Linked DNA regions of Lonchura striata. The protein of the gene in region 1 interacts with the protein of each later gene in a pairwise test. Links are inferred from orthologs where the notes say so. Each region holds a gene or a part of one and is shown in the gene's direction. Other genes may lie near its edges. The genes, in order: SH3GL3 and RPL35A.

What was found.
Region 2: the proteins of SH3GL3 (region 1) and RPL35A interact in a two-hybrid assay, tested with the Homo sapiens proteins (2 studies listed by BioGRID and IntAct). The link is inferred for Lonchura striata from reciprocal best matches to the Homo sapiens genes SH3GL3 and RPL35A.

What each region holds. Positions count from the first base shown.
Region 1 is NC_134613.1:15,166,952-15,175,752, forward strand, and holds the start of SH3GL3 (endophilin-A3), read left to right. Parts: upstream 1-5,144; 5' UTR 5,145-5,206; coding exon 5,207-5,251; intron 5,252-5,296; exon of another isoform or gene 5,297-5,491; intron 5,492-8,801. UniProt on the Homo sapiens protein: Implicated in endocytosis. May recruit other proteins to membranes with high curvature.
Region 2 is NC_134612.1:17,892,899-17,901,608, forward strand, and holds RPL35A (large ribosomal subunit protein eL33), read left to right. Parts: upstream 1-4,800; 5' UTR 4,801-4,872; intron 4,873-5,192; 5' UTR 5,193-5,224; coding exon 5,225-5,235; intron 5,236-6,504; coding exon 6,505-6,657; intron 6,658-7,331; coding exon 7,332-7,476; intron 7,477-8,295; coding exon 8,296-8,319; 3' UTR 8,320-8,354; downstream 8,355-8,710. Other genes in the region: DRC9 (dynein regulatory complex protein 9), read right to left, coding at 461-608, 4,575-4,597.

The sequences.
Region 1 (8,801 bases):
TAAAAATTAGTAATACTGGATTAGTAATACTCCAATATTTTCAGTTTTGTCTCCACTGTGGAGTAATTTTGGACAGCCACATCTTTACTTCAATTTACACACATAGCTAATTTTTGGTGAGCAGTCTAGCTGCTTGTCTGAGAGCACTGAGTGCCCAGGTATATGTTAATTACAAAACCTTTATTGTTTTAGTGATGCCAGCAACAACATAGGCACCTAAAAGTAACAAGATCTCCAAGTTGGAGCTGTCTAGGAGTCCATCCACATGGTGTAATTTGCAAGATTAGGACTGCTAATTTTCAGAAACTTCAGAATGACAGAGCTCCATACACAAAAATGTAGGTTGCTGAGTTTTTAAAATTAGAGTATCTACTTATGGTATGGACATATGTAACTTTAAAAAAATCTCTATCTAGATCTTGAACTTACCTGAATCATTTATATGTCTTTGTAAAATAAACACATAATTAGAATGATCTTTATTAATGGCATAAGACCTAACACACTTTTGTTTTGTTATTGACACTTGCAGAACAACAGCCAGAGATTTAGCAAAGTGATGACAGAAGGTATGTGCAGTATTACGGAGAAGCATGTGGAATAAAAACACAGGAAGGAGACAAGAAAAGCGAGGATCTGCATAATGGTAAAGCAACACATATGGAAAGTCAGCTTGAGAAGAACAGTCACATATGCCAAAAATAATTCACTAGTTACATTTAGTTAGAAGATCTGGGGAGCAAACATAAGCATCCTAAACAACTGCAGTAGGTTAGCCAGAGTGTCTGCTGGCCCCAGGGTCACATATTCCTGCTCTAACTGCCAGCAGCATCCCTTTGGAATGAGGAGCTTTCCAAATGCTGGCCAGTGCTGGCTGTGGAGGGAAAACTGTCTGTTCTTTTCCGTTTCTCATGATTTCTTATGAAATGTATACTGCAATGTAAAGCCCTTTCAGAAATACCTGAGCCAGTTGATCTGCGCAGAATGCGCTGATCTGCAGAATTGCTTGGTTATGTTCTAGAAACAAAAGTGTAATGTTGGTGTGTGACCAATTATATATCTTTTTGTTTAATTATAAATAATTATTTCATTTAAATATATAGAAAGGCTGCTAAAACAGCCACATGATTTAACCTTACCATCCCGGGCATATTTTGCAGAAGGATTTTCTGTTCTTGTTACTGGGATCATTTGCTGTTGGCATTGCTTTCACAGTGTCAGCTCCCAAGTTTGTTGTATGAAATCTATAAAATAATGAAATGGATGACATTTGGGACTGATTTCACCAAGTGTTCTAGTCCTTTGGAACTCACTCTGGAACACTGTTTTATATTACTTCTTTTGCTTGGGTCAAAACTTAAGAATCAGTGTCACGAGTTTAGCAATCCCTTCCTTTTTCTAGAATTGTCAAACTAGTGCTTTATTTTGAAGGCTTTCTACAAGTTTGCTTTTGTAGAGTGGGTTATTGGCCAACTGTTCTTTCAAATGGCATCATTTTCCTAGAGGATCATCTTTTCCAAATGCTTGTTTTCTAAACAATTTGCAAGTATGCTCTCTTCCTGTGACCAAAACCACAGCCTATTGCTACAGTTTTGACAACATGAAAACTAACTAGGTAATCTGCACTGTCATTACATACAGATAATCCTTACAGACCATTAATGGATATCACACCACGTCTGAGAGTCTTGATCACTGTTGTTTGTAGTTGCTCTTGCCCTGGATCAGGTGAGTACATCCAAAGTCTCCTTCTAATGCCTTGTGTTGAAATGTATTTCATGATAAGCTGATACACAGTAATTTATCTTTTCCTTAAGGCCTAAATATTAAAAAAGAAAAAAAGCTTTAATAATGTAGTCAGCATGGCCCAGAATCAAATACAATAGAATTTCATTGCAAACTCATCTTTCCTCCCTTTTTTGTTGTTTTCTTTTATGGCAGTAACCACCAAAGACCCAGATTATATTTCAATGGCAGTTTTCATTATTTTTAAGAGACATTCAAATGAATGTGAATGTAGTTGGCATCAAATTCCAAGTAAATTCAAATGCTAAGGTGCCTCTATATAATTTAAAAAAGTACCTCTAGTTTCCATTTTGCTGGAAACCTAATACTTCATGTGGCTGCTACTGCAATTTCAGCTCTTACAAGATGATTTGTTCATTGAAAACAAATCACCTATGAGATTTTTTGTCATATCTATAGATTGAATTTCTGATGATAGTGTTTTTCCCATAGTATCAGCCACACTGAAATGCAAGTGTATTATAAATTTAACCTTTTATTCAATATTCTCTCCTGTTTAAATTTCACCAGACCAATTTTCAAGCACGGTTGTCCCATGTGAGCAGGCAGTGCATATTTTCTAGTCACTACCTTGATCTGAGCCCAATTAGGAGTTCTCAGTTTGTGCAAATTTCATTGTCCATTTTAGCACACATGATTCAGTAACATGTTGGAGCCATTATGAATTCCTCTCATGCACTTTAATGTTTCCAGAGTAGTGGAAGTGTAATTGTTGCTTGAATACCCAGACATCTAGAACTTTTTCCCTGAAGGTCCCCTCTGTGAAGTATTTTTCACTCTGCCCTAGCCTGTCTTCTAACAACTTTATTATAAGCTTTTTTTCCATCATGTCAGCATTTACCTGAACCATTTGCCAAGTTTTTTTGTAGTATTTCTCATTTCTCTTATTTTATAGACTAAATCACTAACTTTGCATAAATCTTAAGGATTATCATTCAGCAAATTGCAATACTTTTTTTTTCCATGTGGTAAAACTATGACATTCTAGACATTCCTTAGCCACTGTGTATTGCTGGCTACAAGCTATAACTTTTACTTGTTACTGAACTGAATACCAGTGTATTTCAGGGTGCCTCCACCAAGTCATCAGTTGACTACACAAGTTGGCTCATTAAATAGGTTTTCACCTTGTCTGTATCACTGAGCAATTAGGCTATGGCGTGAAATTCCCACTTGCAAATTTTTGTACCCCTTCATCAGACAACATGGCTGCTATCCTTGGGCTACAAAAAGGATTTTTTTTTTAAAAAGAGAAGTTGTAGACATGCAGCCTTACTAAAGTTCTTTATCTAATCCAATTTTACAGCTAACACCCACAGCAACTCCATAATCCATTCATTCCCCTCCACAGAGATTTATTTCAAACTCCTTCCTTCTTTGCTCTGGTCCAGCTGTTCCTAAAGCTGAAGATTAGCCAAAGCTGCCTTGTCTCCCTAATTCCATAGTACACTAAGAGCTTGCTTTAATTCCTTTTATGGAGCTCCAATATCCTAGTTTAGGCCTTATTTCCTCACCTGAGGTGTCTAAAACATGTCACTAATTTAAGCCATAACTAATTTGGCCCTGACAGTTAACATCTTGCTGCCAGTTTCAATCAGGGAGGAGAAACAACTGCTGAAATCAAGTGTCTGTGGTGTAATCATGTTTACTTGTAAGGATGACAAAAATGCTCTTTCCCTAGACACAGGTGGCACCAGATAACATGGTGATGCCAGGCTTCTTTCGAACATTTCCAAATCCCTGAAGAACTTCACCTAACAGTTTGTCTTCCAGAGCAAATGTTGACTGGTGCTCTCCTCTTTGCTTTCTCTTCTGCCTCTCCTCTACAGAGAGTCCTTTGTCAAGTAACAGCCAGATCCTTAACTCATTAATGTGTTTGTCTTTGCACTTTGTTCCTTAGTAATATAATGATTTTTTCTAAGAGGTGGGAATAGCAATTTCTTTCTCCCAAATTACAGTGTGACAACCAGTATGAAAGTTCTTGTATTTTTTTTTCTTTGCTATTCTAAAGAAGCAACTCTATCATATTCTGAAAATGTTTTTCTCTCCTAACCCAATCAAAATGCAGTGAGCATGACAGTGAGTAACACAGAGTCCTGCTGCAGCCAGCAAAGCTTATCTCTGAACTGCTCCCCAGGTCCCTGCGTAAGTTTCAGCTGAATCATAACTCCCAAGTATCCTTACAGCCAGGATCAAGCAGCATTATCACAGAGCTTATCTTCCCCAGAATGTAAGCATCGCTTGAAATTGCTCTACCATGAGGGCAGAACCACATCTCTAATTTATATCAGCACATTCCTGATACACAGTCATATTTCAGTATATAATCTGTAAATCCCTCACATAACAACCAACCAAACAGCTAAAACATCCTTTCAGCAGAGCTCTTTCTAGTCTATCTGCTCTTCTGAGTGAGAGACTGTGCCTTTGGAACCCTGAGCAGCATCACTGCCGGTATGGAGTCACACGACAAAGTGGATATTTTCTGGTGCATAGAACCAGCCAGGTGTGTTCTGGACTGCTGCAAGAGCTTTCATGTTTCAAGAGCTATAATTAAATTACCACCTACAATAATGGATCTGAGGTTAATGAGCTCAGAGATGCTACGTTGAACCACAAGAAATGAGACAGATCCATAATGAGACATTTTCAGCCTTATTCAAAATAAGACAGATAAAACTGGGCAGCTGACTGGCCTTTTGGTGCCTGGGCTGTGCGCCCCACCAGCGGGTGCCCTGTGGGTACCCAGGCGGTGCTCCCCGTGGCAGAGTGCTGTGGGTGCGCTATGGGTGCCCAGGAGATGCTCCCCGCAGGAGGGGTGCTCTGTGGTGCTTTGTGGGTGCTCTGTGGTGCTCTGTGGGTGCTCTGTGGTGCTCTGTGGGTGCTCTGTGGTGCTTTGTGGTGCTCTGTGGGTACTCTGTGGGTACTCTGTGGATGCCCAGGAGATGCTGCCCGCAGGAGGGGTGCTCTGTGATGCTCTGTGGTGCTCTGTGGTGCCCTGTGGATGCCCAGGAGATGCTGCTCGCAGGAGGGGTGCTCTGTGATGCTCTGTGGTGCCCTGTGGTGCCCTGTGGTGCCCTGTGGTGCTCCCCGCCGCCGCCGTGCCCTCGCCGGGCCGGCGCAGCCCCCGCCCGGCTCCCGCCGCTGTCTCCATGCGACAGCGCAGCGTGGGCGTCTCCCAGCGCCTCATTTGCATAGCCCGGCGAGCGGCCAATGGGCGGGCGGCGCTGCCGCTTCATTTGCATGTGGCCGGGCGGCGGCCAATGGGGCGGCGGCGGCCGGGCGCGCGGAGGGCGATGCTGGCGGCGCGCGGGCGGCGCTGCGCGGGGCCGGGCGCGCGGAGCTGCCGGGCGCGGGCGGCCCTGGGCCCGGGCGGCCGCGGGGCAGCGGCGGCGGGACCATGTCGGTGGCGGGGCTCAAGAAGCAGTTCCACAAAGCCAGCCAGGTACGGGGCCGCGGCGGGGCCCGGCGGGCTTGGCTGCTGATGGGCGGTTCGCCCGGCGCCCGCTCCCGCACGGGCGGCGGGTCCCTCCTCCGTCTGTGGCAGCATCGCCCTGGCACCTCCGGGGAGTGTTTCCTCCAGCGTTACCTCCGGGCCCGGAGCCTGTGCTTTTGCCTGTCAGCTGCCTGTGCTCTTCTCACAGGAGAAGCTTGCCCCGTCCAGTTATTTTGCTTGGGGCTTCAGGTCTTTCCTTTACTTATTAACATTTGTTATTTGGTGATGGGTTCGTGTTCGTGTTTTGAGGCCTCAGTTAAAGCTACAGCCTGTATAGTAGCAGCTTTCCCCTAAAGGGTTCATTGTTTTGATCTGCCACGAATTGCTGGTTTATTATCCTACCTGGAATGTCATGTATTTGTCCTGTAGAGGGTATCAGATGTTTCTAGAGTTTTCCCTCCTTTTCTAGATGCTGTACTCTTCTCTAGAGTGGCTCTTCATCTTCTTCTGACCTCTTTATCTCTTTTCTCTTTTATATGTGCTTTGCTTTAATAGTTTACCTCGTTTCTTTTAAGAGAGAAGCACCTTTCTGCCAAGCAGGAGCTCTGGTTGGATTCCATGGCAGGATGGTGCCAGTTGCAAACCCTGCATTGATGCAGGGGCTTCAGGACATGGCTGCAGTGGGATTCTTCCACTCAAGGTTTTTGGAAGTCTCAGCTGCTTTGCTTGCTCATTCCATATCAAAGAGATCTGTATATCTGCTGGTTGTCATTAATGATAATGGTAATATTGAAATTAGTGGCTGTAACCTGTTCAGTAAAATCTTACAGCTGCTTTTGTCTTGGTGAGAGTGAGGAAAATAAAGATTCATTGAGTGCTTGGCTGTCATCTTGCTAGGTCTTCCTTCAGCTATGTAGCTTGTCAGCAGCCCAAGTGCAGAATCTGCACTTTATTTGGATACAGAGATGCTAAATATTTTTATCTAATGTTTCAGTAGTGTGCTCTCTTTCAAGGAATGTACTGATCCTGAAAAATGTTGTGAATTGGTATCTTTTAGTTAATTTTCACTGTTACTTTGAGAAAATGCTGGACCTGTAGAGTAAACAAATCCAAGGACAATTTATTAAAGATTTTGCCTTGTTTTGCATCATATCAGATGCTGGTAAGTGGTGCAGCCTTTGCTGTAGTGAGCTTGTAACTCAGGAAGCTGAAGATACTTCAGTGAGGAAGTTTGAGAGGTAACCACAGGAAGAACCCTCTTGTCTAGCAACTGGTAACAGTGCAGGTTACTTAATCCTGCTCAGATGTCAGGTAAACAAACAAAAGGATGGGTGGGATCTGATAAAGGTAGTAGTAATGGCAGAAAGGAGATGTAGAATATATTGAATTTGACTGCATCTATTGGAAAGTTGTGGTATGACTTCCAATATTTAATGCAGTAAGAAACTGCAATGCATAACTCATAAAAATGTTTTTCTTCTCGGGATGGGTCAAAGGTAAAAGTTTCAACTTATTTTCAAATGAACTGAGGAAGAAATTTTAAGTCAATTGATTGAAAAAGTCTGTAGTTATGGAAATGTGTTTACTAGAAAATTAAAGTTGAGGAATGAGATACTGGAATTTTTTTTGGTACATAAGGTAATAGAAGACAGTTCTTAAAAGCTCATTCTGTAATAATTCAGATAAGATGTTGGGCAAAATAGTAGTGAGAAAATAACAAATAGCATATATATGTAGTGGATCAAAACAGCCATGTCTAAACAATGAAAGTGCTTATCTCTGGCACACAGAGACACAGTCATGCCTAGATGTATTAACTTGTTGAACTAACAAAAATAAGGTGGGACATGAAAAATGGAAATATTGGGATTCCATCTTTTAGAAGAATTATTTTACAAAATGCTAAAACAAGCAAATGCAGAGCATGAGAGGTATTTCTCTACAGAAGATTTGTTAAATTTCCAAGTACTGTGGGCTCACTTAAGGAGACAGAGACCTTTGTGTATTGAGTGGATGAAAGATGCCAATGGTAACTGTTAGCAGCAGAGACAGGCATTGCTTGGAGAAAGAATGAAATTAATTCCTTTAGTGTTCCCAAAAGAGAATGGGGGCAGATGACAAAAACTGGCAAATGTCCCAGAGGACATTGAGGAATACTGGAGGGAATGAGACTACTGTCAGGACACGTGATTAAGGAATAAGAATAATATCTGAAAGCTGACAGAACCTAAGGATAAAAAATCTGCAAGTGTATTCAGACAGTCTGTATTTAATAGTTCATTCAGAAATATGAATAAATATCCAAAAAATGACAAGATCCATATATATTATTTCCATGCTAAAATAGACTTCTGTTAAATGGAAATTACTATTTTAATGAAATATAGAGTAGTATAGATACATAGTTATAAAAGTAAAAAAAAATAGAGTTATTCTAAATTCTGCTTGCTCTTACTGAACCACTGAACTTTTTTGCAAAAAACTTCATTTCAGTTTTGTGCTTGTAAAAAGCCTGTGTGTCTTTATGTAAAGCTTTTGTTGACTAGGGGTGATTACCTTTGTGTGTAGGCTTAAATTCTAAGTGCAGGAGTCCAGGAAAACAAAAATTACTTACGATTTTATATGCAGTTGAGGTTTCTGGGATGTTTGCCTGATCCTTGTCAGCTTGGTTTGTCTGAAGTTACACTTAAGTAAATGAGTGTTTGCTTTATTAAAGGTCAGCAGCTAACTTTGTATGGTTACTAATGCCCTTGCCAAAATCAGGCACGACAAGCTATTGCAAACATGGCTGGTGTAGTAAAAAGTCACCATGGGTCTGTCTGTTTGTAATTCAGTAATTCACTGGAATTTCTGGATGGTTCGGATGGTGTTCCCCTAGAGTTTCTTAACCGGTTGTATTTTTTTTCCACTGAAAATTGCATGTTCTAGTTAAAGATCTAGATCTAGTGCCAGGCAGTGAGATCTAGAAGACAGCTCTTGGGTTACAGTGTCAAAATTTACTGCAGTGAGGTCTGTACCCAGAGGGAGTAGAGTTTGTGCTGTTTTTCTGTATATTCCAATATATAAAGCTGCAGTGCTACTCCATTATCTGTCCCCTAATAATTGCTTGCCCTGGTGTCATGGAATGGACAGACCCAAAGCTGAGATGGATCTCAAAGTTTCTGTGTCTGTTATGAAGTGATAACGCCCTTCGTGTTCTTAGAATTTTCTTTACTATGCCTTCTACTTCAGTTGTAAGTTTATATTAAAGTTCTTCAATTGAAAGTGTACTTCAGTGAGAATCTCTTCCATTCTCTTAGTTAAATATCAATGATGATTCCTTGAGTATAACTCATTTAACTCATGAAATCCGAAGAAGAACCTATGAAGTGTCTTACCACCTCTCAATGGCTGATAAGCAAGGGCAGGCTTTTTCTGAGGGCTGATTAATGTGCACCTCCCATGAAATTCAGCTTTTAAAAAAATTATTATTTTTAAAAATAAAGTTTAGTGAAGTTTTGTTTGCAGTGAGAGTTTGTGTCCTGTTGCTTTCAGGCTCTGCCAGATCGGAGCTGTTTTT
Region 2 (8,710 bases), on another chromosome or scaffold:
GAAGTGCATCTTTCTTAATACATTGTGGGAACAAAAGGATCTTTGGCATGGACTTAGGGAGGAATAGAATTAACCTGGTTTTGAGTACTTTGAAATAACCTATACATTTCTACTTTCAAAATAGCTCTGCATCTACAGAAGAACCTACATATGTTTTGCTTCCTTTTCCCCAATTCCTTCCTTATTGTCTAACAACTGAGATTTTAAAATCATAATCTTAGGAACCTCATCTTGGATCAGTAGAGTCCTTTGCACAAATTCATAACCAAGGCTTCTCAGTGATGCTGCAATATAAATATTAAAATTAGGTCACTTTTATTGTGTTTCTTCACCCAAGGGTCACGGAATAACAGAAAATATATTTGAGTTAATTTGTTTAAAACGCTGATTAAAGATACAAAACCAAGACGAAGAAAAACAAAAAGATATGATATACATCTGTTTAAGCAGTGGCACATACATGGTTGATGTCTGTCTTGTCCTCATGTGGAACTGGCATGATATATCCAAGAATTGCAAGTTGATCCACACAGTTCTCCAGCACAGCACTAAACCTCAGAGCTTCTACATGAGTGATTTTTTCCATTTGTTTAGTCTCTGTGTTCTTGCTAGGAGGAACAAAGATAAAAGATACCAATCAGAAAAATGCTGTGGTGTTATTAATGTTAGTAACAGTAGTTTAAATGAAAGGTAGACACAAAAAAGCCTTATTTGCAGCCTTACATATACTTCCCTGGCTTTGTTTATAACCTTCCATACACTGTTTATAAGAGGAGCTGTGCTCTGCTAATGGCTGCATTCAGGGACAGTGGGAATGTTTAGCTTTCACAAAACAAAGAGGTCCTGGTCCCTCCTACAGCAGGTCTGGGTAGAGAGGCTGAGAAGGGGATGGGTATGGAGGGCACAAACTGGGTGAGGTACCTCATTATTCACTTCAGGGGGAGCAGTGGCTCATCGTGGAGTTTGGGAAACAACAGAAGAAAGGTGCCTTTTTAAAATAATAATACTAAAAAATCCACATCCTATAAAATCTCAGAGGGTGAACATTCATGCTCTAATCATTCCTCAATATTACTGTGTAGCCTTCACACTTTTATGATCCCAGTCCGCTCTCAGCAGGAATTGTTACCATCTTAAGATGCTGAAAGTTAAACAAGAACCAATATCTGGACTGAATAAACAATCTTAATTTTCTGTATTATTTTATTTTAACTTGCAATTCGAACATGAAACTGCTCTGAAATACACTTAAGCACCCCTTTGCCTTGCCTACAGATGAAATATTGTGAAAGCATATCTAAGGAAAAATGAAAATTCACTATTAATCCAGAAATACCTAAGAAAACACCTGCACAACAATGGGAAAATTCTCTGAGAATTGTAATGGTTTGATATGCCATTGGACAATCCCTCCAAAGCCTGTACATACAAACCAGGTATTTCTTGTACAACATGTAGCACAACTGCAGTCTGAGGTGGTTGAGATCCTGAGTATCAACAACCACTAACAAAATCTTAATTTGGCTGCTCTACCTACAACTGGATTTGTGCCATCTGTAAAACCCTTGCATAAACATATCCTAAGCCTGCAAAATATTACAGCCCAACCTGCAAGTATGCCAAGGAAACACATCAGGCACTCCCTGTTAGCATAAGACATGGCCATATTCTATGAATATTAAAGAGGTTTGGATGCAGCTGTGCTCTGCATCACTGGAAATCAGTGATATTTCACAAGCAAGTGTTTAAAAATATACATACTTGCTATAACCTCTCTGAAGCTGTTATAATTTGCCCTCCTCCTTTTTTTTGTTGTTTTTGTTGAAGAAAATCTGTAATTTACAGTTGGACCGTGAAGTTAATTTCACTTGGCAGAAAAGAACCACTTTTCAGTGCAGGTTTATTTGATGTCTGTTCGTATAGAATAGGTAAAACAAACAAATGTAACTCAGATTCCACACATTTATTTCCTGATGTCCCTGTCTGCTGCAGGAAGTCGTTTAATGCAACACATGTTGAAATGTGCTGAGAGAGGACATGGCTCTCCCTGGGGATGGGATTAGAAAGTGCACAGGGATTGCTCCCAGTAAATCCACAGGAAGGGCAGATACCAGGGAGAGACAGAGGTATTTAAGTTAAAGGATAATACTGCTCTGGGTAAAAGGAGAGTAAACGCCCCTAAGCCAGGCAATTATGATGAGGTTTCTAACTCCTGAATGGAAAATACAGAACAGCCTTTCAGCCAAGGTAATGGTAGAGGCACCCTAATTTATTTCAAGAAGCTTGATTAAATCATGGCAGAAAAAGATAACAGCAAAGTAGTGATTCTGAATATTATCAGTATGTTCACTAGACTTGTATTGTTTGTAACCACTTACATCTAATTCCTCTGAGCAGGGCTTTTAATGGTCACCTAGAATGAAGAGGAAAGTGATTTCATCCCTTTGCTTCTGAGATTTTTTTCTCTCTTTTATCTTAATTATAAAAAAAAAGTTTAACAGCTTGAGACAGGAATCTGATAAAAGCATTAACAAAAAAAAAAAAAAAAAAGAAAGGCAAATTATCTGTATAATACACTAAATCCATCACTTTTCTTGTCAACCTTGGAATCAGCTATAGAAGTGGAGATGCAGTATTTTTACATCAAGAAAGTCAGGCAGTGTCTCCAGTCAACAGGCACTAATAAAATATTTTTCAATGCTTTACTCATTTTTATCTTTTTCAGAAATCCATAATCCATATTTTGAATCTAAACAACCTAGGAATAATCTATTACATGTGGAGTCATAAAATATAACTAGTCTGCTAAAAATATGATGAAAAAAGATGTGTTGGGAGATAGCTGTGACATGATTACAGCAGGATTTTTGGAAGAAGAAATAACATGTGCAGCTCTCATAGGAAAAAGAGACTTATTTGGAAACAAAGGAGGATGCAACAGCTTTTCCTCTTTTCTGTCAGCAGCTTCTGACCAGGAGAGAATTAACTCAGGATATTAATATGTTTCAAGAAAGCTGGCGGCTGGAATGTTTCTCTAAAGCCCCTTTGCTGCTTTGCTCCTCCTGTGTATCTTCTCTTACATTCACATCCTTGCTCAGCAGATCCCTGTGCCAAGCCAGTGGGGTCTGGGCTTATGTTAAGTTGGACTTGAGAAGGAAACCACTGTCTGGGGCATTAGCAAACACTACAGATATGAGCTGCTTGCTGTGGATTTTAGTGCCAACACAGTGCCCCTCAGACCATCCACGGCATCACCCTGCATTGCTGTGTTTGCTGAACTCCCTCATTAAACTCTATTAATAATTTTTTTTAAAGTATGTGAAGGATTCAACTTCCCCCATGAGTTTTGGATGACATTCTTTCCCTGCTGATATAAAGGGAAAGAAAAACATATCAAGTAATAATTTTTAAAGCAAGTGTATAAAAGGTCTGGTCTCCTGTTCCTTTGGGGATTGCAACTTCCTCTGCTGTGTGAGAGTCCTGGATGTACATTTCTCCCACCCTGCTGCCTGATAAAGGAAAGTGGATTCAAAAGCAGCATTTTGTGCAGCATTCCTTGTAGTCAGAAGATACTTCATTGAATTCCAGTGATAAAATGCATAGCTGGCAATGTCACATCTCCTTTAGGTCTGTTTGGCAAATGACTGGCGAAGAGAGGTTCTGAATATCCACAGGAGCAGCAGCGGAGCCAGAAATCAACTTCATTTTTACCAAAGAAAAGTCTCTTGGGAAGCAAAATAGGTGTGGCCTTACCTTACACAGCTCTGCCTCCGGCTAGAAATATTAGGACAGCAAGGTGCTCATTTTGGAAAAAAAAAAAAAAAAGCGGGGGGGGGGGGGGAAGGGCAAGGAAAGGAGAGAGGAAGGGGAAGGGAAAGAAAGGGATGAAAAGAGAAGGAAAGGGAAAGGGAAAGGGAAAGGGAAAGGGAAAGGGAAAGGGAAAGGGAAAGGGAAAGGGAAAGGGAAAGGGACCACCAAGATTCCTTAAGGTTTCCCTTCCCTTCACCTTCCTTCCCTTAAATCACTTCAAGCGCTCTGAAAATGCACCAGAATTTCTGGCAGTGTGAGGGAAGTGACAGAAATCGGGATTGAATAGCCCTGACGTGAGCAAATGGGTAAGTACATGCTTCCAGATCTTATTTAGTAAAATAAAGGAATGTGAGACTTGGTTACAGGGATTTCAGTGTCGAAATATGTTTTCTGCCTCCAAGGCGATATCAGAAGTAAACTAAATGCCGAGATGATTAATTGACTCAGGGTGAGAACATCGGACGGGCAGGGCCGGCCGGGAGCCGCCCCGAGCACCAAGGGCTGCTCTCTCCTCCCGCGCTGCCTCTCTTCGGGCTCCGCGGCCCGTTTTCATTCGCCCTGCCTAGACCGACCCGGGCTCCCCTCAACCTCTCACCGGGATCTGCCCTTATTTCCCCCGATCCCGGTCCCGATCCCGGTCCCGGTCCCGATCCCGGTCCCGATCCCGATCCCGATCCCGGTCCCGATCCCGGTCCCGGTCCCGGTCCCGATCCCGGTCCCGATCCCGATCCCGGTCCCGGTCTCGGTCTCGGCCCCGCCCTCACCGGGACGCGCCGCTCGTCTCCATGGCAACCACCGCGCTCGGGGCCTCGCGGGGATGGCCCGCGGGTGCCTGTGCAGCGGGGCTGTGGCCGCCCCTCCTGGGATCGCTCTTGCGGGGATCGCGGACACGGGACACGGGACACGGGACAGGGGACACGGACAGGGGCCGGGCGGTACCTTCCTCAACCCGGTGCCGCTCACTCCGGCAGCGCTCGGGCCGCCCGCTCGGGTCCTGGCCGCGCATTTCCCGGCAGGCAGCGGGGCGCGGCTCTCTTTCGCCGCCATCTTGGGGCGCTGGGGGTGAGGCGGAGCGGGGCCGCGGCCGGGAGCGGGGCCGGGAGCAGGGCCGGGGGCGGTGCCCCCGCCGTAGGGCCGCCGGCGGGCGCGGGGCTCCCGGGGCGCGGCGGACGGCGCGGTTTGGGGCGGGGACAAGGCGGGATGGCGCCGATGCGCGGCGGATGGTCCCAGTGGCGGGTTGGGGCCCTGGGCTGGAGCGGGGCTGAGGCGGCTGCTGAGGTGCGGAGCGGAGGCTGCCGGGCAGCCCCCGGGTGCTCGGGGTCTCGCTGGCCGGGCCGGGTGGAGATGCCGGCCCGCGGCTCACGGCTGTGTGTCGTTTCCAGGCCTGCCGGGACCGGCTCTGCGGGAGGACGCCATGGCCGGGAGGTGAGTGAGGGCCGGGCTGGCGCTCGGCTCGCTGCTGCAGCGCTGTAGGAGCGTTCCTGGGAGCGTTTGCTCAGCAGGGCAGTGAGCGGTGTTGCGCTGCCCAGCGTCCTGCTGGGCCCTGTGGAACGCCCGCAGTTGTGTGTCCCTGCTCTGAAATCTCTTGAGCTGGTTCTAGTTGCTGTTACGGTGTGCCACGCTCTCCTTGGCCTGTCAGTAAATATCAGTGTGAAATTTGTGGGTTTGTTAGCTCAGTGTTTGTTAATCTCCAGTGTGCAGTGGAGCTTTGACATAAACTGTTTCCTTGAGTAAAGGGAGCAACATGTTTTTCCCATGGGTAAATTTTCTGTTGTGCTGCCGAATTTTCTTAAAGGATGTAGGGATTGAGTTCGTAAGTGAAGGGATTAAATGTGAATACTGTGGAGTTGCCTGGAGAAGCTGTGGCTGCCCCATCCCTGGAAGTGTTCAAGGTCGAGCTGGGTGGGACTCTTGAGCCTGATCTAGCGTGAGGTGTTCCTGCCTATGTAGGAGAGTCAAAACTGGATGGTCTTAAATGTCCCTTCCAACCCAAACCCTTCGATGGTTCTGTGAATCCCAGCTTTATGTCCTAACATTAATGTGTGGAGTTTGTCCTGTTGCACGTGTGGCAGGTAGAACTGGATATCCCAGTTGGATCCTGCTGTATCCCAGAGCAGGTGCTGGATGCCCCTGGGCCAGATGTGCTGTGGCTGCTCGGTGTGTGGGACAGGTCCTGTAATGACCTTACATGGGCAGTGCAGGTGTCCTGAAGAATTGCTGAGGAGTTTGTGTAATGTCTGTGCCCAGTGGATGTCAGGCTGTTGCTCTGGCTCCTCCTTTGAGGCTACAAATCAGGGTCAGTTCATACCTTCTATAGCAGTTACTGCAACACGGGAGATTTCATGTGGTGTGTAGAAAAAAAAGTAATGTTTACTCATCAGTGTTAGTAGACATTTAGAAATAATATCTGCTAATGCTGGAGTATTTGAATCTTAGTATGAAGCCAGTATTGTAGTGCCAGGAGTTTATGACAAGCAAAAAGTGTAATATTTTCATAAATACTTCAAGTTCCACATACTCAGCTTTGCTCTGTTCATTGATGTAAGTATTTGCAGTGATTTGTAAAAGTCAGCTATTTCCTCTGCTGATTTCTACTGGTGTGGAATTAGTTCCTGCTGAAAGAGCCTGTGATTAGTTTTTATTTTTGTTATTTGGAAGTGAGTTATAATTTTCAGGTATTTTCCATGTCTTTAGGTTGTGGTGCAAGGCCATTTTTGCTGGCTACAAACGTGGCCTCCGAAACCAGCGGGAGCACACGGCCCTTCTGAAAATTGAAGGTGTTTATGCCCGTCAGGAGACAGACTTCTACCTGGGCAAGAGGTGTGCCTATGTGTACAAAGCTAAAAAGTAAGTAATGTTGTATTCTTGTGCTGAACTAGCCAATGCTTGTGTTGGTTTTGTAAATGCTAGGAGATCATGATGCTACATGATATGTAAGAGAGCAAATGGGATGAGAAACAAGTTTTGCCTAAGACTGACAAAAACTGAAAGTTGGGTGATGGAGTAAATTGAAGTGGGTGAATTTGTGTTAAATACTTTGAACTGTTCAGTTACTTAAACAGTAGAGTGATTTTGTGAAGCCTGGGTGAATTTGTGTTCTGACTTTCATGTGCCCATGTTTGAGCACTGTCTGTCACTTCTGCTCTGCTGTCATTGATAGACACCTTGGGAACAGCTGCTTATTGCTTCCACTTCCTTTTTTTTTCTTGACTGCTGTTGTTAGTGTGCAGAATTATCTTGAATAAAATTGATCAAACTGGTATGTTAGCAAAAGTGTTTTCCAAATTTTTGAGCTTTGTAAGCTGTTAATAGTTGTCAAGCTGTAATTACACCTTTGAAAGGTACAGTGAAAATCCCAGGCTGGGAAAATATCACAAGTAAAAAAAAGTGGACATTGGTCTAGTTAAAGATGGCTGTGGAGCTAAATTATTGAAGTGCTGTAGAGAGACCACATTGTCAGTGCTGGGTACAGCAGAGCTGTGACTGCCCTGCTGAGCTGTTCTTGGGCTCCTTTTCCCCAGCAACACGGTAACCCCCGGAGGCAAACCCAACAGGACACGCGTGATCTGGGGGAAGGTGACCCGCGCGCATGGCAACAGTGGCATGGTGCGTGCCAAGTTCCGCTCCAACCTGCCTGCCAAGGCCATTGGACACAGAATCCGGGTGGTAAGTGGGTTTGGTTTAGCAACAAGATACTTATTGGCAGTTTTTGGGTGCCTTCTAAATTCCTTATAATATGAGGGAACATTTGAACTTTGCTTTTGTTCTGTTGCTGTTGGGTGTTCAGCATGGCTCAGTGACTTTGTTTTGGAGCCTAGAGAGGCTTTTTGCTGCCTTCCTGTGCTGAGGGGGTTTGTCTTGTTATCAGGGGTTTGTGTGCTTGCTCAGGTTGTGTGGAAAGGCTCTTAAAGTTCCAGGACTCGGCTCCTGTCTAAAGCTGCCTTGATTTCTTTTCCACCATCTGTTCTGCATATTTTTGCACCCTTCTACTCCTTTACCTGTTTGATTTTTCTCTTACTTCCCAAATGTTTTAACTGAGAGCAGTGCTGTCCTGTCATGGCCACTTCCACCTGTTCCCACTGTTGGTGTTTTAGCCACAGGGCTTCAGTGGGACTATCCGTTTAGGTCTCTCACCTAGAGTTGTGATGTAATATTTTCGTAGTGATGTTGTCAAAAGGAATACAAGAGGGGTGTGGTCCTTTCTGTCTTTCTCCTGTGCCTTAGAAAAAGCACAGTAGGAGCAGCACAGATAATTCCTGAAATCCAGAGCCATGGGAACTCTTGTTGGTGCACAGGAGGGCTAGTTGCCATGGTGTCTGTGTCACCAGTGAAGTGCTCCTGCAAGTCATTCTCACACCTCTTCTGTATAAACTGGGGATTGCTTTAATAGCAGTTGAAGAGATTCATGGTCTAGATTGTAACTGCAAAACTCATGTTTGAATACAAGATTTCTAACGTGATTCTGTCTGGTTTTGTGTTTTACAGATGCTGTATCCATCTAGGATCTAAATTTTTATTCAAAATAAAATGGAGACTCTGTTTAACTTTTGTATATTTCTGGTTTGATTGCCTCCACAAATTTTGAGAGACCTCTTTCTCAGTAGTATCAGAGTTGACAGCACAGACAGAGACACTAAATCCTGGCAGGTGCAAAGCCTCTCTCACATCAGTAGTTCTGGTAGAATCCCTGATAATGACCCCACCTGTACCTGGCCAGCACGTGTGCCTGTAGCGTCTGCTTTGTGTAAATAATTTAAACACATTTTCATTGCACGGCTCTGTGGTGCCCAAGTGTTAACGCTGTTTTCTTGGCCAGCCTTGTCCCAGCATGTCATGTAGGGCAGTGAGCATCTTCACAGCACTTCCTTTTAGTTTTGCTGAACAGTAAGGTGGTGAAAAA